Linked DNA regions of Macaca fascicularis. The main gene of each other region encodes a partner of the protein of the gene in region 2 in a complex. Links are inferred from orthologs where the notes say so. Each region holds a gene or a part of one and is shown on either strand. Other genes may lie near its edges.

Region 1 (7,421 bases), on a different chromosome or scaffold from region 2:
TTCACTGAGACATGCATGGTATAAAAATCATTTTTAATTTTTTTTCAGACTATCAATGCATAAAGGATTAGGGAGTAAAATTCTCTCTTAACAAAGTGATCAGCTTTGTACACCATCTTGACAACTCCCACTTAAAAATGAACAGGAGGAACCGATCTGTCCAAAAATAGAGTTGTTACCCAGAAAAACCACAATCATGCAAAAAATAAAACATCTCAGAATTGGCTCTTCTAAAGAAAAAACTCCAATCAAAATACCTCATGCAACAAATAGTATACAATGCTAAACTATCTTTAAGAGAATGAAACTTAGAATTCAAATATGCATGGTTCCAAAATACGATCAGAAACATAGTAAACTAATACTCAAATCCAACCCCAAAACATAGAGCGGAGGGCTCAGAAGCTGTTCTAAAGCACCACAAACTAAGTTTCCAAAAGTTAGTCTGAAAAATACTGGCTTAACGTGGTCACAGGAACTTAATTTTTATGGCACGGAAAAAAAATAATGTCCCCAAATAATTAGATGGTGTGTCTGTAATTTGCAGAAACTCTTGTTTTTTCACTTACTGTCAGAATGGTGACATCACAAACATCAAATACTAAATACATTTCTAGAAAACCTGCTAATGTTTCCCATCCCCTTCAATGATGACACAAGTCCCCAAAGTCAAATATTCCATTCACTTATAAGCAGAACAATTCTACAGTGCCTGCAACAGTGAACTCAATGAGGCCACTTAAAAAAAAAAATTCTAAAATTAAAATGTAAATGAGACTCAATGAATTTGATAATTTTATAAAATCCGCTCGAACGCTTTTAGAAAACAGGCTGCAAATGCTATAATTTCCCTTCTCTCTCTAGCCCTACCAAACAAAAAAGCACTTTAAGATATTTTCAAGATACTTATAACTACAATATGAGTCTGCTGTTTCAGAAACACAATCTCAGAGGCAGGTACTTCAAATATATTTGCTGGAGGAAAAAAAACCCCACAACTTTGGACTGTGCGACATACTTTTTCTGGAAGCTGGGATTCAACTTCTTTCTTCAGTCTCCTTAGTAAAAATGGTCTTAACACCTTATGTAGACGTCTGATGATCAATATAGTTTCTTCTTCATTTAAATCCACCTGTAAGAGAGGCTTATATGAATTTGATGTTTTAAAGAAAAGGATGTTTCATACAATAAAGCTTTATGTTACACTTATATGGTTCAATACATGATTAACATTTTACATGCATTAAAGCCAGGTTTAAGCCTATCATATCTACCTCTGAATTATCTTCCCACCTGCCTACCAAGCGGTAACAAAATGACCTCTAAATAGATCTTTGTCTTAATGCTGAGTTCTATGGAAAAGAGTCCAGAAGCCACCAGTTTTTATCAGTAGTGTCAACAGCCCCAAATTGTATGGAATATGACTGTCAATGAAGACGGACTGAAGATTGAGATAGAACGGGAGAAGAGGGGCAATAGTTAATATGTTCCCTATTTAAAGTGGCAGCCTTAAGTTAGGCCCTTCGTCTTGGTTGTCTCAGACACAGAAACATACTAAAGGAACAGGGGCTTGCACATATAAAGAAGAGGAACAAGAGTTGATCTAGTTTATGCTGGTGGACCTCTAAGTCCCTCTAACTTCACCCCTTTCCTTTTCTCAGCCCTATCTAGTTCAAATTTAGCCAAACTTACAAATTTCCCGGCTTTCTCTTTCACCTTCTCCTATTAACCTCTAGGGGGCAGAGTTGATTGACACTACTTTCTACAAATGGGCAAGCCAGTGAGTTAACCACTGAGGAGGGGCCCATGTGCCTCAAAATCAAAGGACGAAATAATTCAAACTGAAATTTTACTAAAGCATTTTTAGTGGCTTTTCATTCCTATGAATGAGGAACCACTATGAAAATGACATGGGCCCAGTTCTTTTCTTGCAACGGCTCATTGTCTTCCTTTCATAAATGAGGTCTTAAGAGAAGACAGTGGAAGGAACAGTAAGAAACTGGAAAATAAATGGCTACTCCAGGAAGACAATTTATGTACACACAAAACTGAAACTCACATTAAAACCTAAAAAGAAAAAAAAAAAAAGTGTGCAGAAAATTAGTGAAAACTAGTTCTGTTTTACACACAAACTCTTCATGTGGAAATATTTCAAAGGGAACTCCAAGTTTATAACAAGGAAAGATTTGTTTAAAGCTTGTATTTAGTTGTTAATTTGGTCTGGTTAAATTAATTCAGCAAAATATCTCCATGTTCATCCTCCCTGTGGCCCACTGGTTCCACCAGTAAGGACCCTTTTCTGGTAGCCTGGTAAACATGCTGGCAAAAGACAAAGGGATTAGATGCCCCGTATACCACTAGATCCATTTTCCTAGGAGGGGAAAATAACCCCACCACGAGACCATGTCCACCCACCAATGGGTTTCATAAAATAAACAACATTGTAAACCACCCTGCGGGTGTTCTGTGGCAGTAATGTTCCCAGCTTTAGGGCCTTTCATTTCATGTCATTGTCATGCAGTAGAAAAAACAAAAGTCAGACCAGTACCCTTTCACCAGTCATGGCAAATGGAGCATTGAACCATTGTTCAAATGTGCTGCAGCTCTTAAAAATTGTGGGGAGGAGGAAGTTGAGGAGGGCCCAGAGTTCAGGGAGCTTATTCTGCAGCGGGGTCCCAGTCAAGAGGATCCTTCTGGGGGCCACATAGTGAGTGTTCAAGACCTGAGTCAGCTTGCAGTGGTGATTCTTCATTCGGTGGCCTTCATCCACTATCATGTATTTCCACCGAATCTATAACATAAGAGGAAGGATGGACATGTAGTAAGCAAGGGAAAATACAACTATTTCCAACAAGCAAGTAGTGGTGCGGAAAACCAAAGAACCCATCCTTGGTATATGATATGCTGTGATTACCTTTGAGACAAGAGAATCTCAACAATGTCTCATGCCTGATAGGCCGCATAAGACATCCTGTAATAATAGAATGTTAAAGCAACAATGTTCCTTACAGACCTCGTAATTCCAAATCAACTTTTTACAAAGAAAGAAAGTTGGGTCCAGAATGACATGGTTGTTCCTACATGTGGATCCTGTATCTCCCCATCCAGTGCCCCTTCTAGTAATACTGTATCATGACAGCTATCCCAGATTTCATTGTCATGCTATTTCGGCTCATGACAGGTGCAGAATATAGGTACCCACCTGAAGCAGAGGTTAATGACTGATTTTTCCAAGATGGCCCTAGCAGGTTCTACAGCGGAGATATTCCTGGCTCCATACCTTCTTTTCTATTAGCCTGGCTGGTTACTACCTTTAGGGCTTGGCTGGGAAGTGTGTTTTGTTTTGTTTGGACTGGTTGCTAACATTTAAAAGTTGGACCATTTCACATTAAATTTGTACATACAGCTCTTCAAAAATTAGGTCTGACCTCAATACACGCACATTCCTTACCTGCCAGATCTAGGACCCCTGTTTTATCTAAAATAAAAGTATATACTCACTGGCAGAAAGGGCAGTGCAAAAATATCATTCCTCTATTTATGCCAAAACTGCAGAATTAAATACAGCATACTTCCCCAACATGACTATTGCGTAAAACGTCCAGAATGCTTAAATGGCCCAGTCCTCCATCCTGTCTACACAGTCCCTTTCCTCTCTCATGCCTTGCCCTTCGGTCCTCTTAAGAGCACTGTTCAGTTTCTTAAAGTGAGAACAATGAGGAATGTTCCACTAAGCCTATCCATTCTCTACAAAACAGTGGCTATGGCCAAGAAAAACATCTGGTGCTCAGATGTCCCCAGATCCTGCTGCAAAGCTCCTAGAGACAGAAGGGAGATGAGGGAAGTATTCTATACAGTCCTTGCCTTCCTCATTAGAAGCATCAGACATGCCGGGGGAAAAGGAATAAAATTATCAGTCAGGCTGGGATGTATAGGTAAACAAACAAACAAACAAAAAACCTACCTCAATTTTTCTTCCTTCCTCCACCACCTCTAAGGAAAGTGCTTAAAGGATAATTAAAACTGTACAATCAACTGCCTCAAACTTACCAATAGCATGAAAAGAGGTAAGCAGACAAAAATATATTTAAATAAATATCCTAAATCTACTTTCTTGCCTAATTTAGCTTATGAAGTAATAAAGAATCAGAGGCCTTTGATTTTGCTATTGGGTCTACTACTAATTAGGTCTTCCACTTGGACAAAATTACTACCCCTTTCTATAGCTCCATTTCTCCAGTAACAAATAAAAGCAATGCATCTCATTACCAGGCATCTCCAATGAATCTTGAAATACATATGCAGATGACACAATATGAATTTTTTTAAAAGGATCTCAAATGTACAAATACATTCCCATAGTAATATTGAAAACACATCATTTTTGACACTGCCAAATTCATCTCTGAGTGTGAGGAGGTGGAACACAACATTGTTGCCAGTGCCATCTCAATTATTAAACCTCCCCTGGGAACACATTTCCTTTTTGTTATTTCCTATGATGCCATGAAGGGAACTCTCAGTTCCCAGAGCAAGAGTTTAATGCAGAGATAGAATAGACCCCAGAAATAGAGGTTCTATTCAATTTTGGACATAACTTAGTTTCAGATTATAGTGCTTTCAAAACATCATGGGGTAAAAAAAAAAATTACTAAAGAGAAAAAAAATGAGTTTTCATTATTTGTTCCATGAGAGAGAGTACTTCCATCTTTCTACATGAATGTACTAGAAGACAAGATGATATAAATGGGGGTAAAAACTTCTACTTTGTGGCTGAGGAACAACTTAGGACACACAAATTAGGAGACACGTAAGTCACAGAAACACCTCTTTCTCAGTTTCAAATAAATAGTCACAGAAACAGCCTTGAGTAATCCAACAATGATAGTCTATTATTTCACCAGGAAAAACCTGAAACAAGACTACCACAAAAGCCAATGCTTGGATAAACGTTCATATGGCGGAGACCATATGCAGAGGTGTCTGGCTCATCTTTGGAGAAACAAAGGCACAAGAGGAATGAAGTTACACTGACAATATCTCAGGGCAACAAAAACAATTATTTCTCTCCCGAGAATGTTCAAAGCTGTTGGAGAGAAAAGAGTTGCAGAAGCAACCAGGTGAATTTTTCTAAGAGATGTAAACTCATCAACTCTGAGAGGACAGTCAAGAGCCATTCCAGGATCAACCATACACACACACACACACACACACACACACACACACACACACACACAAATAGCATGCATGAAATCAAATCCATGACCTAAATACATCAAACTCTGACAAAATTTTTAAAAAATAAAGAAAGGGACAAGCCATCTAAGGATCTAATTATACTATTGATTTGGGCAATACTTCACATTCCAGTGCGATGGTCCATAATTAGAGAGAAAATAATTTTTTAGAAACATACCTTTGCAAGAATGTGCTTGTCTTTTATAATATACTCATAAGTAGTCAAGAGGACATTGAATTTGCCACTCCGTAGCTGGGGGACAAGGGAGCGACGCATGGCAGGAGTACCCTGAATGGAAAGAAAACAGTATATGCATGATCCTATGGACATATATGTGTGTTATTTCTCACTATTCATAGCTTAATGATGCCCAGACATGTGACTGAAGAATGCACAGACACACATTCTCATAGACTGATCTATTATACATGAGGAAGTTTTGGCTAAATTACACGTCTTGACCCTTTTCAGATCTTTTTTAGAAAGGTTTTCCCACCAAAGACAGTGGGAGGGCAAAGAGAAATGACAGTGACTTTGTGGTAGTAGAGAACCCACTGCTCTGCTGAAAGGCTCCAGTTCTTTTGAGAAAGTACAGCAGGCAGCCCGGGCACCCGGGTAACTGCCTGACTTTGCAGGAACAGTCGGCACAGTAGCAGCCCACAGCGAGCCAGTCAGCAGCACGCAGAATGTGTGATATTTGTCATTTGTATTACTCTCATCAGAAACCTTGCAATATGATAATTAACAATTTTCTTCTGGATTTCACTATCTGAAAGTAATTATGGTTTATTACAGTAATCTTCTTGGGATGATTAACTCTCACGGTTTAGTACATGATGTACATGACAAAACTTTACAACCAAATACAGTTCACAGATGTGCATATGGAATGAAGAAAATACGGTCTATTTTTTGCTTTTCCACATTTATATATAAATACAGCATTCCAAACCTTGTAAGAAATTTTCACCACAGAAGGAGCCCATTTGTCAAATTCATATGTCCAGTTAGATAGAGTCCTATGGAACAACAAAAAAAAAATACACAGAAAAAAGACATTTGTATAAAAATCAATGGTTAAAAAGATGTTCTTATTCATTTTCAGGCCTCACCTTGAAAGGGGCTACAGAATATAACATATCTCAACAACATATTTTAAAGGTGTGGAAATAAGAGATAAGTTCAAAATAAACTGTCACAAAACATGACAAGTTTGTGGTTCATAAAAAAAATCTTGTAAGAAAAAAACCAGAGAATATATAGAGAGCAAAAAACTAAACTGTAATATGATATTTAAAAAGAGCAATTGCCAGAATAATTTTAGGAGTCTTCATAAACAGTCATATAAGTTCAGAAAAAAGTTGAGTCAGGAAAAAGAAATTACAAAACCACATGAAAACATAAAATAAATCTGTCAAGAGGGAACGGGGAAGAAATATTGAATGACTTTTTTTTTAAAGTCCTGAAAGTGTCACTGTATATATGATTCAGAACGTGCAAAATATAGATTAAATGCAAAAGATGCCTAAATATTATAGATACAGATAATTCATACAAAAAGGACTGCAAATAGTCTTCATTAGAAAAAATTCAAAGAAAACACAATAATATTAATAGAATCCTTCTTCTTACTGAAGGTCCAAGTTCCTATCAGCATTGAGATCTATAACAAGAGCTCGGTGAATAAAGCTGCAACCTAACACCCACAGGCAGACACACTGAACTCCCAGGGAGGGTGCGTGTGAATCATTATGCCCTCACTCAGTAGTGTCCACTTAGGACCTTCTAAGAAATACCCAGTGGGTGAGGCACTGGGAACATAATGGTGAACAGCAAAGGCCTGTCCTTACTAAGCAGCAAACTCATTGAAACATAACCTCAGTGCACATACTAAGGTTATTTTAATGCAAAATTCATAGTTGTGCTTTTGATTTATATTCCGCTTTAAAAGGAAGATTTAAGAATATATAATCTTTTGGAAATGGAATAAGGAAAAAATCAAAGAAACCTCACACACCCCCACACACACACACAAACTTTCCCCTTTGTGAGCCACTTAAGGAATAATGATGAGCAAGACTCCCTATGCAGTGTTCAGGCTGTATAGACCTGTAATGCTAATGGCTGATAAAATCACTTGGTCCCCTGCTTAAAAGGCCAATCAAACAGGCTAGGATGGGGA
Region 2 (7,421 bases):
ACTTTTGGGGGTGAGGAGAAGCTCCCATTTGGTATTATTGTATGCATATTGTGTTAGTGGCTTTCATGAGTCTGTGAAGCCCTGTCCAGTAGCTTCTGGTAGGCTGTAGAGAACATTGGGTTTCCCTGGTGACTCCGGTATACTTGGATAGTTCTCAGACAGTAAATACTTTATATAGCATGTCAAGACCTTTTGGAGTGCTTATGATAGCTACAAGATGGAATTCATTCCTAGTCAGTTCTTCATTCAGATGATGATTAGCATTCTCTTAAGTATAGGTGTGAAAACACATTGAGACAAAAATGTCTTTAAAAATAGCCTGTTTCTGTACATTAATAGAAATTCTGTCCCAGAAGAAAGCTCTTAAATAAGTTCCTGCTAGAGAAACAGCTGAGAATTACAAAAGGAACAACAACAAAAAACTGAGTAGCCAAGATAAATTTCACAAAATCATGAATTTTATTCATAGGTGATTTCCTAAGACCTTGCTCTTCTGTAAGCCCAGTTCTACCCACCTCTCCATTGGAAATTGAAAGCAGAAAATTGAAAAGAGAGTTGCTGCTAGAGGTGGATTTCCTGATAGTAGCAAGGAAAGAAACAGTTCAAAAATGGAAACACATTCTCCAAAAGCATAGCCATAGGCCACTGAAAGAGCCAACAACAGATTTTCGCATTTCACACACCCGACAGAAGGTTACAGCACGGCAAAACAGTGGTTGTTTACAATTGAATCTTATCCAGAAAGGGTCTAAAGTATGTTCAACTTTTTTTTACAGAAATGTTTAAGACATTGTAGAAAGATGTCTCTCTGAGACATTAAATAAATTGGAGGTGTGTAATGATATAAATCTTTACTATCCTGCAAACCATCTGGAATTTTAACTTTATTATTGTTTTGGGGTGTCTTTTTAGTTTGGGTTTTTTTGTTGTAAGTTGACTGGTCTCAATATATAGATGATATGTGTACCTTTCTTTGGGAGAAAGGAAGAGAAATAGCAAATCCATTAATATAAATGTGATTCTTTGAAAAATATCAAAGCAAATACTACTATGTTTTTAAAGTGTTTTAATTCATACTTAAAGCTCGAAAGCATAGGCATTTTAGAATTCTTTACCTCTTTAATTTCAAAAAAAATTTGACAGTAGTCTTAACCACCTCAATTATGGGCACAATTCCAACCTTATTTGTAACCCATTTCATGGAATTCTGAAGGTTTGTGTTGGATATGAGTTGGAAATGCTTTCTAATAACTATGTGTGAAGAAGCAGACTTGTGTGTGTCTGTTCCTCTGAATCCGTAAGGTTAGTCTTAGAGGAATTCCCTTTCCCCTTAAAAGAACTTGTACAAACCCTGATACAGGTTTCCCTTTATTGGCTGCTACCCCACCACTTTTGATAGTTTCCATGCCCCCTGGCCATCTTACTCTCTTACCCACTGCTGGCCAAAAACAGTGTCTGTCTACCTGGGCACTAGCATGAGGTGTAGTAAGAATGCATGGAAGGAATGGAAAGAGAGGAAATACTGCTTCCAAGGCGAAATGCTTTCTAATAACTTCATATATGAAGAAATAGAGTTACAGGGATGGAGAGAGACCCTTGTAGGAAGAGGAAACATTTCTTGATCATAGTGGAAAAGGACACAAACATGCTAATCCCTGAGCCCTCAAATGAAAAATAAGGTTATGATTGGGGTCCCAGCCCAGAGTGGAGGAGTATCTCTGGGGTTTTATCATAGCAACAACAGAAGGGGAAGCGAACAAAATGTTACTTTAGTTTTCTTATAGGGATTTGCCAATCCTGTCTTTTGATAATTAGAATAAAGCCAGCACTTCATTTCTCCAGCCTAGCAGGGAGAGTCAGTATTAGAGGAGATCTCCTGAAAATTTGCAAATTGTCTGAAATAGCAATGATTTTTCTTATTCTGGGTCTTTAATCAAATGCAGTCATGTATATTAAGAGGAGACTAAAAAGTTCAGAAATAAATACTTTTAGGTGGGTGTTATCTGGGTGGTCTACCAGAAGCTGTCTGGAATCTCACCTAGACTTTAGACCACAGGAAAAACTGATCACTTTATCTTTCTCTTTCCTTCTTTTTTTATTTTTTCTCTCACCTATTTTTGCTTTACCTTTTTAAAAAATATTTTTCAGTCTTCCCTCCCCCTCCTTTTCTTCTGTCTTTCTTTTCCTGCACATCACATCTTTCCTTTTCCTCTGTCTTTCCCATAAAACCAAACATTTTTAATGGAATGGAACTTCTTGATATAACACCTCAAAAATAACAATCAGGCCCCATATCTGCCACTTCTCTGTTCCGGATAAACTTGTTTGCTTTTACACTGTGATTAGGACTAAGGACACAAAAAGGTGTGACTTTCATTCACACTTCTCCTTCCCCTTTACAAGAAAACCACTAGGTAACAGACAGAACCTTAAGAGAAATAAAATCTCTAGCCTGGCAAAGGAGGTAAAGTGGTTTGTTATTTCACTAATTGTTTTTGAACCTGAGAAGTTGTTTTTGTGGTGATATTGGGAGTACATTCCTGACATAGTGCTAATAGGTTAAGGCCCCTGTAGACAGTGTGAGAATGGTAAGTGTTAAGGGTTCAGATCCTGCTGCAGATAATCAAGTGTTGACTGTATGTGTAATGGTAATTGAGCAGAATGAGAGGGTGCCAGGTAATGTCCTGAATGTGAGACGGTTGATATATAACCATATATTTTCAATGTATGGGTTACTATGTAATATTTTATTTGTTCCTGCAGCCAGGTTGTCAAAGCATTGGCAATAAACTGCTAAGTAAAACATTTAAAAAGTTTGTGCTTAAAGTCATTTTCTTTTGAACATTTCTGAATTTGCAGTGATAGCTATTTTCAGTGGAGAAAATATTTGGACGAGTAGAAGAAAGGCGCATTAGAATTTTTTAAGGGACTCTCTTTTCAGTTTGCCGGTGAACTCCTTACAGCTGAATAATGAATGTATTTAACTCTTTTGTAGGCATCCTCTGGTATTACGATTCCAAAACCCCCAAAGCCACCAGATAAGCCGCTGATGCCCTACATGAGGTACAGCAGAAAGGTAGGCGCTTAGGACCTGGAAAGGAATGAGGACACTGTCTTTGCTGCTTCTTTCTTTGCATCCAATTTTAGATTGGCTTAGCCAGCTTTTCTGTGCATATTCGGAGGAAAGGACCGAAAAAATACAGTTTTTAAGGCAATTAGTTCTGATTTCAGAATTCCAGAACTAAAATCCAACAAGAGGAGCATGATTAAATAAACTGTTAAAATCCTTAAGATAGAATGTTCTGTGGCCATTAAAGTCATGTCTTTTGGAGAATATTTAATGACATGAGGAAAATATTAAGTGAAGGAGGACTACAAAACTACATGAATTAATATCTCATTTTTATAAAAATGATGGCAACCATATGTTAGTTTGAAGGGGGAAAACACAGAAGACAGAAGAAAACACAGAAAACATAGATAACCTTAGAGACAGGTTATCTCTAAGCAGTAAGCTTATGGTAGTTTTTATTTTCTTTTCCTCAAGTTTTCCTTTTTTTTTTTTTTTTTTTGGTGATGAACTTACGTTACTCTTAAAATTAAAAAAATAGCCAATATCTTTATTAAAAGGCAGAGCATTATAACTACTATCTAGAAATTGTAAACCTTTTGATCTTGACTATTACATTGGTTTTTGATAATATGATGTATTGTGTTACGCAAATTAAGCACTTCTAAGTTCACGTGAACTTTTAGTGACATAGACTGTGTTATTGAAGTAATTCATCTTAAGTGTCTGTAGTGATTGGAGATATTCTTGCATATCACATTGAAGTATTTATAAGTGAGTGACATGATGTCTGAGATCTATCTTAAAATAATCCAGTAGGGCAAAGATAACCTGAGGTTGGTCAGTCGTTGATCATTGTTGAAGTAGGCTGATGAGTACATAGAAATTTGATACTGTTGTCTCTGCTTTTTATGTTCAAAAGTTTCCATATTAAAAAGCATTTTTAAAGGTCTATACATTTAGACATCAGTATTAACATTTCATCTGTTTTCTTTTTAAGGTCTGGGACCAAGTAAAGGCTTCCAACCCTGACCTAAAGTTGTGGGAGATTGGCAAGATTATTGGTGGCATGTGGCGAGATCTCACTGATGAAGAAAAACAAGAATATTTAAACGAATACGAAGCAGAAAAGGTAGGATAGGGGCTCACAGTGGGATAGATAATGTGTAAAGTACAAAAACACTGGCTTACTATTTATAAAAGAAACATAAGATTTGGTCAGAAGGCTGATGCTGTACTGAGGCTTTGTCTTCCTGAGTCAAGTCAATTTCTCAAGGCCTCAGATTTCTTGTCCGTAAAAAGGAGATAATTATCCGAACACCCTGTTTACATCATATCTTTTGATATTCAAATGAGATAACATAAGTCTGCATTATAACCTGTAAAATGTTAATTATAAAACCAAAAAACATTTGAATTTCAGATAGAGTACAATGAATCTATGAAGGCCTATCATAATTCCCCCGCGTACCTTGCTTACATAAATGCAAAAAGTCGTGCAGAAGCTGCTTTAGAGGAAGAAAGTCGACAGAGACAGTCTCGCATGGAGAAAGGGGAACCGTACATGAGCATTCAGCCGGCTGAAGATCCAGATGGTAAAAGAAAAAAAGTGGGGTTTTGTTTATGCTTTCTCTGAGAGTTAGGATATGAGTAATCTCTTAGGTGTGTTTTATTTCTTATCCTAAATGGAAAAGAAAGCATAATTTATGTGTCACCTCAGTATTTTGCTTATATTGAGTAAGATTTGTATGTGAATTTCCCACAAGAAAAAGAAATATCCTTTTGAGTGCAGAAAATGGCAAAAATTATTTATTGTTTATCAAAATCTTTGTACTCAAAATGCATGAAAGGTTTTTAAATCACAATCAGGATTTTGCCTCATCTGCTTTTACAAAGCTAAATGCATTCTAGTTATATCCTGTTTTCTTACTGGTTCACTAAATTCGCTGAATTAGAGGCTCTTAAGGGAGAAGCTAATGAGTATGTGGAAACATTATGAAGTTTCCTTTCCATTTAATTCAGAAATCCAATAAGAATGTATAAATATAGCTCATGCTACTACTTTTATGGGTGTACATGAGGGTACACCCATACAAATTTTATACATGCACACGAATAGCAGAGCTTCCTAATTGCCGTTCTGTATGAGTAGTTAGCAGGTGTGCTGATTGTTCTGGTCTTGTGCAGCCAGGCAGGGTCTGAAGCTGCAAGGAGACCCAGAGATAGCCATTTGCAGTGTGAACACACTCAACCACATATTTAATGTGCTATATAAATACTAATAGTTTCTCTGTGTACTGCTATGATGTGCAAAAGGTTAGAAGCTCTAGCTACAAGTGACAAAAACATCAGGAAAATGATTTAAGATCCCATCTTAAAGTTGCAGTAACAAAGAGGAAGGCTATAAGAACTTTAAAGACAGTATCAATGAGGGAGGAAGCAATAATAGCACCTGAAGACAAGAATAAGTTGATAAAAGTGGGGAAAAACAGAAATCATTTTTTAAAATAATGGACTGGAATATTGTCAAATGTTCTCATAAATACAGACAGTGGAATGTAACACTATAGAGAATAGAATATGGAATAGAAACAGTATTGAGTGTTAAACAGAATCAGCAGTGCTAAAGACACACTAGCATCCTCACACTGTAATTACTCAAATGGGATGATTAATGCAAGAGAAACATACAGAAGATGATCCAGGCTACAGATATTGGGAGGATGGGGGTCAGTACAAGAGGAAACAAAGGCTAGCAACGTAAGTAGAAAATAACTAAAGCTTTCATTAACACCATGAACATTCAGAAGGACTGAAGAGATTCACTCAGAAACAGTCTCAAACTTGGGCCTATTATGTTTTTAACTTTAAGGGTGGGTCTTAAAGTTGCTAGTAAGTAAGTTCAGGTAGTAATTAAGATGCCAGTATGAGAATGTCTTTAGCATGCCAGTATGAAAATGATTAGAGGAAGACTTGGGAGGTGGAAATGTATGTCAAATGTACATAAGAGAAAGGTGGCATCTGCATGAAGTACAGCAGCTACTGACTTCTTTAACAGAGGACTATCAAAAGATAGACATGACCAGGCGCCATGGCTCACGCCTGTAATCCCAATACTTTTAACTAAAGCAGGAGGATTGCTTGTGGCCAAGAGTTTGAGACCAGCCTGGGCAACACAGCAAGACTCTATCTCTACAGAATACTTAAAAATTAGCTGGGCATGGTGGCTTGTGCCTGTAGTCCCAGCTGCTCCAACTGAGGCTGAGGTGGGAGGATCAATTGAGCCCAGGAGTTCGAGACTGCAGTGAGCTATGATCATGCCACTGCCCTCCATCCTGGATGACAGAGCAATACCCAGTCTCAAAAAAAAAAAAAAAAGAGGGCATGTGCAATTATCTACACAAGACAATGAAGGCTTTTGTTCAATGAGAGCCTCTTCATGGGATAAATAGCTGTTCAATTAGATCATAATTAGAAAAGCCATTCCCCGAAAAAAGGAAGCAGATGACTTACATGCAAGGAAGAACAAGCCCAAATTCTTAGACCTTATTACCCCATCTGTGGTCAACACTGGGGCCATATAAATGAAAGAAGAAAATAAAAAATAACAAAAACAGATAACTTAGACAGACGTAGCACAGATATACCACATATAACCCTAAAGGTGAAAAACTCTTAAAAAGTAGAAAGATTACAGAGTTTTTAAAAAACTGTATCTTACCTAATAGTTTTAATTTCAGAAGTTTATTTCCTAAAGGAATTACTCAAAAGGAAAGAAAAGTAATTTTTTTAACTTTTTACAAAAACAACAGTTTTTAGCTATAGTATTTATGATAATGAGAATTTTAGGAACTGCTTAAGTGCAAGACAATAAGAGAGGTGCTAAACTGACATAGGAGCACCACAAAGGCCTCTAACAGGGTTCCCTCTAACAGGCTTTCCTCTGTAACAGGCTTCCCTCTGTAACAGGGTTTCCTCTGTAACAGGGTTCCCTCTGTAACGGGGTTTCCTCTGTAACAGGGTGTCCTCTGTAACAGGCTTCCCTCTGTAACGGGCTTCCCTCTGTAACGGGCTTCCCTCTGTGACGGGCTTCCCTCTGTGACGGGCTTCCCTCTGTGACGGGCTTCCCTCTGTGACAGGGTGTCCTCTGTAACAGGCTTCCCTCTGTGACAGGGTGTCCTCTGTAACAGGGTGTCCTCTGTAACAGGCTTCCTTCTGTAACGGGCTTCCCTCTGTAACGGGGTTTCCTCTGTGACGGGCTTCCCTCTGTGACGGGCTTCCCTCTGTGACAGGCTTCCCTCTGTAACAGGGTGTCCTCTGTAACAGGCTTCCCTCTGTAACAGGCTTCCCT
Region 3 (7,421 bases), on a different chromosome or scaffold from region 2:
GGCTGTAGAGGGGACCCCTGTCTTGCTGTCCCCTCTCTTAGTCCCTGCCCAAGCGGATTTCATGTTCCCCAAAATGGGTACTACAAAATCCTCCCTACCCCTACCAGCGATCAAGGGGTAGTCCTAGTCTCAGCATCAGACGTGTAAGTGACTCCCGCTTTAGAAGGGAAAGGAGTTAAAGGGCCCAGAGTCCAGGCAGGTCTTGGATATTGCTTCTGTCTCCCCACCCTCTGGAAAGGAGAAGGACCTTTGTGCTGTCTTCCCGGGTCCCTCCTTAGAGGGCACTGTCAAATGTTTGTCGGCCGGGCGCAGCGGCTTATGCCTGTAATCCCAGCACTTTGGGAGACCAAGGCGGGCGGATCACGAGGTCAGGAGATCGAGACCATCCTGGCTAACATGGTGAAACCCCATCTCTACTAAAAATACAAAAAAATTAGCCGGGCAAGGTGGCAGGCGCCTGTAGTCCCAGCTACTCAGGAGGCTGAGGCAGGAGAATGGCGTGAACCCGAGAGGCAGACCTTGCAGTGAGCCGAGATGGCGCCACTGCGCTCCAGCCTGGGTGACAGAGCGCGACTCCGTCTCAAAAAAAAAAAGAAAAAAGAAAGAAACCTTTGTCATGACTTGCTCTGAACTGTTGAATAGTTATTGCGGAAGTGGTTGCGCAGGTGTTGGGGTTACACAGGGAAGTGATGCAGTCACTGCCTGCTCCTGCTCACAGCCTTGCCAGGGAAAATGGGAACGCACAGAGTACAGCAGGCACCCAAATGCTCTCATCTGTCTCACCCAGCCCTGGAGCCTTTGCCTTTGTTTAAAATAGCTTTTGGTGTGTGTGTATGTGTGTGTGTGTATATATATATATATATATATATTTTTTTTTTTTTTTTTTTAATTAAAGATAGGGTGTTGCCATCTCACCCAGGCTGGAGTGCAGTGGCTGATCTCGGCTCACTGCAACCTCCGCCTCCTGGGTTCAAGTGATTCTTATGCTTCAGCCTCCTGAGTAGCTGAATTATAGACGTGTGCCACCACATGCCTGGCTAATTTTTGTATTTTGGGTAGGGTTGAGGTTTCACCACGTTGGCCAGGCTGGTTTTGAACTCACCTTTTTTTTTTTTTTGAGACAGAGTTTCGCTCTTGTTGCCCAGGCTGGACTGCAGTGGCGTGATCTCGGCTCACTGCAACTTCTGCCTCCCAGGTTCAAGCGATTCTCCTGCCTCAGCCTCCTGAGTAGCTGAGATTACAGGTGCCTGCTACCACACCTGGCTAATTTTAGTAATTTTAGTATAGACAGGGTTTCACCATTTTGGCCAGGCTGGTCTCGATCTCCTGACCTCAGGTGATCCACCCGCCTTGGCCTCCCAAAGTGCTGGGATTACAGGTATGAGCCACCGCGCCTGGCCTGGTTTCGAACTCTTGACCTCAGGTGGAGTGCCCACCTTGACCTCCCAAAGTGCCAGAGTTACAGGCATGAGCTGCTGCGCCTGGCGCTTTTGGTAAAAGTAACCTGGAATTTGGGAGAGAAGATCAAACTCTTCACGGGACATGGGTTATTTAAATTACTTTGGATGTCACCTCTGGAAGGTGTTTATCAACCCATCTTCTGACTTCTACTGCTCTGGAAGCTCGGAGGCCAGAGGCCTTGCCTAGTCCATCTCAGGATGGCTAGTATGTCTAAAATGACAGTCTGATCACGTCTCTTCCTTCAAAACACTGGGGACTCCCAGCCATCTGCTGAGTAAAGTCATCTTCTCACGGAGCATGTGAGACCTGTGATCAGTCCCCTCCCTGGGGGCCCCCTCCCTGGACTGCCCCTCAGTCTCTCCTCCCTGCTGCTGCCTGTGCCCCTCCCCACAGTGAACCCTGACTTGGTGTCTAAGGCTCTGCTCTATTGTCCACCCCTTGTACAAGCCTCCCCCTTGTACCACTTCCCGCATCTCCAGGAAGTGCTTCTGTGGAGCCATGCCTGGCTCATAGTGCAGTACACCATGGCCATGGGTTAGCAACTGACCTGCGTGCTGGGCTGTGTCTGGTGCCCCTCCATACCCTTGCCCTTGCTCAGGTGCCTCTAGCATCTGATGACAGCCTGGGGAGCAGGCTTCTGCAAAATCAGGTGCACAGACAACTCCCACGGGAGCCTCGAGCCTGACAGAGGTACAGTGGGCATCCCCTGAGCATGAGTTGATTCCTGGTGGGCAGGATCAGGCTCCTAGACTGACTGGGGGGACTTTTCTTGTATCTCCCCAGGGAACAGAAGGCCAAGAGGAACAGCCAGTGGGTACCCACCCTGCCCAACAGCTCCCACCACCTGGATGCCGTGCCATGCTCCACGACCATCAACAGGAACCGCATGGGCCGGGACAAGAAGAGAACCTTCCCCCTTTGGTGCGGATGTGTCGCTGTGCTCACCCTCTGCCCTGATTCTCCCTTAGTTCTCCAGCACATTTCAGTCCCCTCCTCCCCAGAAAAACACTGCTTTGACCTTGTGCTCCCCACAATGCTACAGTACCTCCTCCTCTTTGAACCACTGTGTTTCCCTGACCTCCAGGACATTGTCTGTAGCCTCTTTGGCTCTGTCTGCTGTCACCTTGCCGTGTCCTCCTCACCTCTCTGGCCCCTCAAGTGGAGTTACTCGGGGCACGGTCCATGTGCCCTTTCTCTGCCCTCAGTTTCACACGAGTGGGTCATAGCCAGTCTGACGGTTCACGTGCCATCCACGTGACTCCCACTGCGCCACCACTTCCCAGAGGCTGCTGGAATAAACCACCACAAACTGGTGGCTGCCAGCAGTGCACAGTTCTTCCCTCACAGTTCGGGGGCCCAGGAGCCCAGATTTGGTTTCACTGGACCAGATGCATGTGTAGACAGGGCTGTGCTCCCTCCAGAGGCCCTCGGGGCGATTCGGTCCTTGCTGCTTCCGGCTTTGGGGGCTGCCACATTCCTGGGCTTGTGGCTGCCTCACTTCAGTCTCGGCCTCTGTGGTCATGTGGCCTTCTCTGCGTGAAATCTCCCTGTCTGTCTCTTAGAAGGACACTTGGTGATGTAATTTAGGGCCCTTCTGGTTAACCTCTCAGGATCTTTCACTTAATCGCATCTGCAAAGTCTCCTTTTTTGGCCATATGAGGTGACAGTTATAGGTTTTGGGGATTAGGCTGTAGATGTCTTCGGGGTCTGTTTTTTACCTCTGCAGCCCAGACTTCCTCAGCTGCCCTCACCCCCTCAGCCTCATGCTGCCTGAAGACTTCTCCATCTCGGCGCATGGAGATCCAGCCGTCTCCTTGCTCAGGCTGTAGCTTTCTTTCCCAAGGCCTGCCTTTTCCTCACACAGCAAGTCCAGTCTCTCCAAGGTCCCACCCAGGACTGCCTTGGCCAGCCCCGCACTGCTCTCCCTGGGGTCTCTAGCAGCCCCTGCCTCCCCTCCCTGTTGCCTTCTCAGCTCTGCAGCTGGTGTGTCCTCTGCTCCAGGCATATCGTGTCACCTCTCCACGCAAAATCCTCCAGGCTCCCCATCACCCTCGGAGCAGAAGGAGGAGTTCTCACTGGGGTGCCAGGCCCAACCTGGCCTGGTGCTGCCACTGCCACACTCTGCCCCACTCACTCTGCCTCAGACCTGAGATCGCCCTCACTGCTGTCAGACCTCCCAGAGCTTCTGCCCAGCAGTTGCCTCTGCTAAGGTTTAGCCCGTTCTCCTTCCTCCCCTCTTTCCTTTCTTCTTTCTTTCCTTCCTTCTTTCTTTCCTTCCATCATTTCTCCTTCCCTCCTTCCCATCCTTCCCCCTCCTCCTTTTCCTTCTCTCTTCCTTCCCTCCATCTCCTCTTCCCATCCCTAGTTGACTGTCCCCTTCTCCCTTAGAGTGGCCACCCCTTTCCTCCAGCACCCCTACCCCTTTCCCTGTCTGTTTCCCAGCGCATTCATGCCTGGCACTCAGCTCGTTTCTCTCTCTCTTCCATCTGCCTCCCAAGATCGCTGGGGCCCTTCTCAGCCCTCTCCATGCTCCCAGACGCCCTTAGGTGTCCTCTGTCCTCCAGCTCCATCTCACCAACCTGCCTGCCCAACTCTTCCCTCTTTATCTTCCCAAAATACTCAACTCCATTGCTTGGAATCCTCCTGGGACTCCCTCAGGGCAGTGGCCAGTTTGCGTAGCCTGAGAGGAGAACTGTGGGTGCTTCGACACCCGCTAGCTTTGCAGCATCCCTGACCACTGCCCCCCATGGAATCTGTGCTCTGTGGTCTGTTTGTGCGTCCTCAGCAGTTCCTCCATTCACCTGCTTTGGCCTTACTGGAATATATCCTCTTCTAGAAATGCTATTCTGCTTGCCTACAGCCTTCTGTGAAAGTCCTGCCAAATTTCAGGCTTAAATATCCCTTCACAGGACATCTGGGTTTTGTTCCAGCACTGCCCGGGTCGATCCTATTGCAGACAGACTGGTGCTTGTCATTTATGGACCCACCTGTCCCCATTAGACCATGGCCCTGGGACCCCTGCTGCCTCAGCTGTTAGCTGATAAGTGACCATGTTCCCCAGATGGGTTTGCAGAGGCCTGCTGTGCAGAGAGGGAGGCTGAAAATTTGCATGCCTAGGGCCCTGGCACCCTCACTGACTGTTGCTTCCATTTCACTTTCAGCTTTGATGACCACGACCCAGCTGTGATCCACGAGAATGCATCTCAGCCTGAGGTGCTGGTCCCCATCCGGCTGGACATGGAGATCGATGGGCAGAAACTGCGAGACGCCTTCACCTGGAACATGAATGGTACAAGGCAGTCGGGCTTGGCTGGGCCTGGCCCCAGCCCCTGTGTGTTACGTGGGAACAGTCCCCTTTCCTACCAGCTGCCTGTCAGGCAGATTCTGGACCTGACATGCGGGACATCGGGGCATAGTTTTGGAGGGTGTGGGCTCTGGGTTCAGCCCTGGTTCTGTTGCTGTTCACTGTGGGTTGGGCATGTGAACTTTGGACTCCTTTCCCCATACTGAGGTTGGGGGGCCCAAGGGGCCTGGCATGGGAGGTGGCTGGTGTGCATAGCATGGATGATGATGACAATGCCACTTAGACCTAGTTCAGCCCCCGAGCCCTGCACACACCTGCCTTGGGTCCTGTCCACCACCCTGTTTCTGCTGTGTGAGGCTGCATGTGTGCCCTGTGCCTCTCTCCTCCCCTAACTGGTCATCTCTTTAGATATCCTCACTCTGTAAGTCCTGGGTCAGGTGCCATCTCTTCTGGCTCTTCCTGGGCTTCCAAAGCCTGAACAGAACTCAGTCTTTGTGCAGATGTAGACAGAAAGGTTAGAAGGGTATGCATCCCAAGTGTCTAGACTGCTTATCCCATCTGGGAGGGAGGATCATGCATGCATTTATTTTGCTATTTTTTTCTAAGTCTGTTAGAATGTATTTTTGTTATTTTATTTTATTATTACTGTTTTTTTAGATCTTGTTGAATACCAGGTTTTTTTGTTTTTTGTTTTTTAACTTAGTGTCTGTATCCTGCTGAATTTTTATAATGAACATACTCTTTATATTAAGACAAAATGCAGTGAATATCATCTTTATTTTATTTTACCTATTTTATTTTGTTTTTTTTTAAGAGACAGAGTCTCACTCTGTTGCCCAGGCTGGAGTGCAGTGATACTTTCATATCTCGCTGTAATCTTGAACTGCTGGGCTCAAGCATTCCTCCTGCCACAGCCTGCCAAATAGCTAGGAATACAGGCATATTCCACTGTGCCGAGCGTTATTTTTAAATGGGTGAATGTTTAAAATCATCAGAATCTCACCACCCGAATAATATTTTCAGTTTTACCTTTTCTCTCTGTCAATTCCACATGCAAACATATTTAACACAGTTGTCACTATAGAGCAAGTCTTGTTTTATTTTTCTTCACTTGTCCTAAGTATCTTTCTGGTTTCTCTTTTTTTGTGGGGGGAGATGGAGTCTCACTCTGTCGCCCAGGCTGGAGTGCAGTGGCACGATCTCAGCTCACTGCAACCTCTACCTCCTAAGTTCAAGCGATTCTCCTGCCTCAGCCTCCTGAGTAGCTGGAACTACAGGCACCCGCCACCATGCCTGGCTAATTTTTGTATTTTTAGTAGAGATGGCGTTTCACCATGTTAGCCAGGCTGGTCTTGAACTGACCTGAGGTGATCCGCCTGCCATGGCCTCCCACACTGCTGGGATTACAGGCGTCAGCCACTGTACCCAGCCTCTTTCTGATTTCTTTAATCTTCAAACAGTGCAGCATTTTCTACTGGGTCGAGGTACCTTTGTTTGCTAAAACACCCTCTGCTGTAGACGTCTGCACGGCAGATAACATAGTTGCAACATTTTTCTCTCCGAAGGGATTTCCTAAGGGAGGAGAGTATGAGTGGTTGTGGCTGCCTTGAGCTTTCTGGAAGGATTAGGCTGCTTCCTTTGGTCATCCCCAGGCACTCGGCATGCTAGGCCTGAGTGCTAGGACTACCACTTGCTCACACTAGTGCCAGGCCTGAGTCCAAAGGCTTCTGCTTAGCCCTGAGAAGAATGCCTGAGAGCCATCTGCCGGGTGCCTGTCCCCTAGGTCCCACAGGTTAGCTGGTGAGCGGGGACGCCAGGGAGAGGAGACATGGGTGAGGGAGGACACTGGCAAGAGACTCCAGGAGGTTGTATTGAGTGTAGATGGGGACAGGTACAGTTCACTGGTCATGCCCCAGAACAGGGACAGGACAGCCCATGGGCACCAGGCCACCAGCGCTGCACAATGCCTTGGCAGTGTTATCTCTGCCAAGCTGCCTGCTTATCTCTGCTGGCCCGCATCAGAGTTATTTGTTAATTCTTGTCTCTCCCTCTCCATTTCAACCCTTTAAGGTCAGGGGCCTTGTTTTTCATTGCCGTTTTCTTTTGAGATGGAGTTTCGCTCTTATTGCCCAGGCTGGAGTGCAGTGGCACGATCTCAGCTCACCACAACCTCCACCTCCCAGGTTCAAGTGATTCTCCTGCCTCAGCCTCCCGAGTAGCTGGGATTACAGGCATGTGCCACCATGCCTGGCTAATTTTGTATTTTTAGTAGAGATGGGGTTTCACCATGTTGGTCAAAGTGGTCTTGAACTCCTGACCTCAGGTGATCCGCCCGCCTCAGCCTCCCAGAGTGCTGGGATTACAGGTGTGAGCCACTGTGCCCGGCTGCTGTTTCTCTTAACATATCATCTAGCCCAGCATAGGAATTTAGTTGTTCACATTGGATCAGTCCATGCTCTGTCTCGTTACGTTTCTTTGGGCAACACATAGAAAGTTCCAGTTTGTTTATACCCCCACCCTGTTCCAAAAAGCATGTAAGGAAGCTTACCATAAGTACACTGGGCCCAAATGACTAAAGCAAATGCAAATGGAGTGGTTAGGAAAAACTGGATAAAGAAGAAATGTTCAAGTTGAAGAGGGAGCTTGCACTCAGATT

Evidence for each region. The genes of interacting proteins can lie anywhere in the genome.
Region 1: SMARCE1 (region 2) and SMARCA2 share a complex: the UniProt entries of both Homo sapiens proteins name them as parts of the BAF complex. The link is inferred for Macaca fascicularis from reciprocal best matches to the Homo sapiens genes SMARCE1 and SMARCA2.
Region 3: SMARCE1 (region 2) and SMARCB1 share a complex: the UniProt entries of both Homo sapiens proteins name them as parts of the BAF complex. The link is inferred for Macaca fascicularis from reciprocal best matches to the Homo sapiens genes SMARCE1 and SMARCB1.

What each region holds. Positions count from the first base shown.
Region 1 is NC_088389.1:97,063,703-97,071,123, forward strand, and holds part of SMARCA2 (probable global transcription activator SNF2L2), read right to left. Parts: intron 6,259-7,421; coding exon 6,192-6,258; intron 5,528-6,191; coding exon 5,417-5,527; intron 2,792-5,416; coding exon 2,549-2,791; intron 1,133-2,548; coding exon 1,019-1,132; intron 1-1,018. UniProt on the Homo sapiens protein: ATPase involved in transcriptional activation and repression of select genes by chromatin remodeling (alteration of DNA-nucleosome topology).
Region 2 is NC_088390.1:61,718,435-61,725,855, reverse strand, and holds part of SMARCE1 (SWI/SNF-related matrix-associated actin-dependent regulator of chromatin subfamily E member 1), read left to right. Parts: intron 1-2,995; coding exon 2,996-3,076; intron 3,077-4,070; coding exon 4,071-4,202; intron 4,203-4,493; coding exon 4,494-4,665; intron 4,666-7,421. UniProt on the Homo sapiens protein: Involved in transcriptional activation and repression of select genes by chromatin remodeling (alteration of DNA-nucleosome topology).
Region 3 is NC_088384.1:28,083,189-28,090,609, forward strand, and holds part of SMARCB1 (SWI/SNF-related matrix-associated actin-dependent regulator of chromatin subfamily B member 1), read left to right. Parts: intron 1-2,244; coding exon 2,245-2,382; intron 2,383-4,622; coding exon 4,623-4,750; intron 4,751-7,421.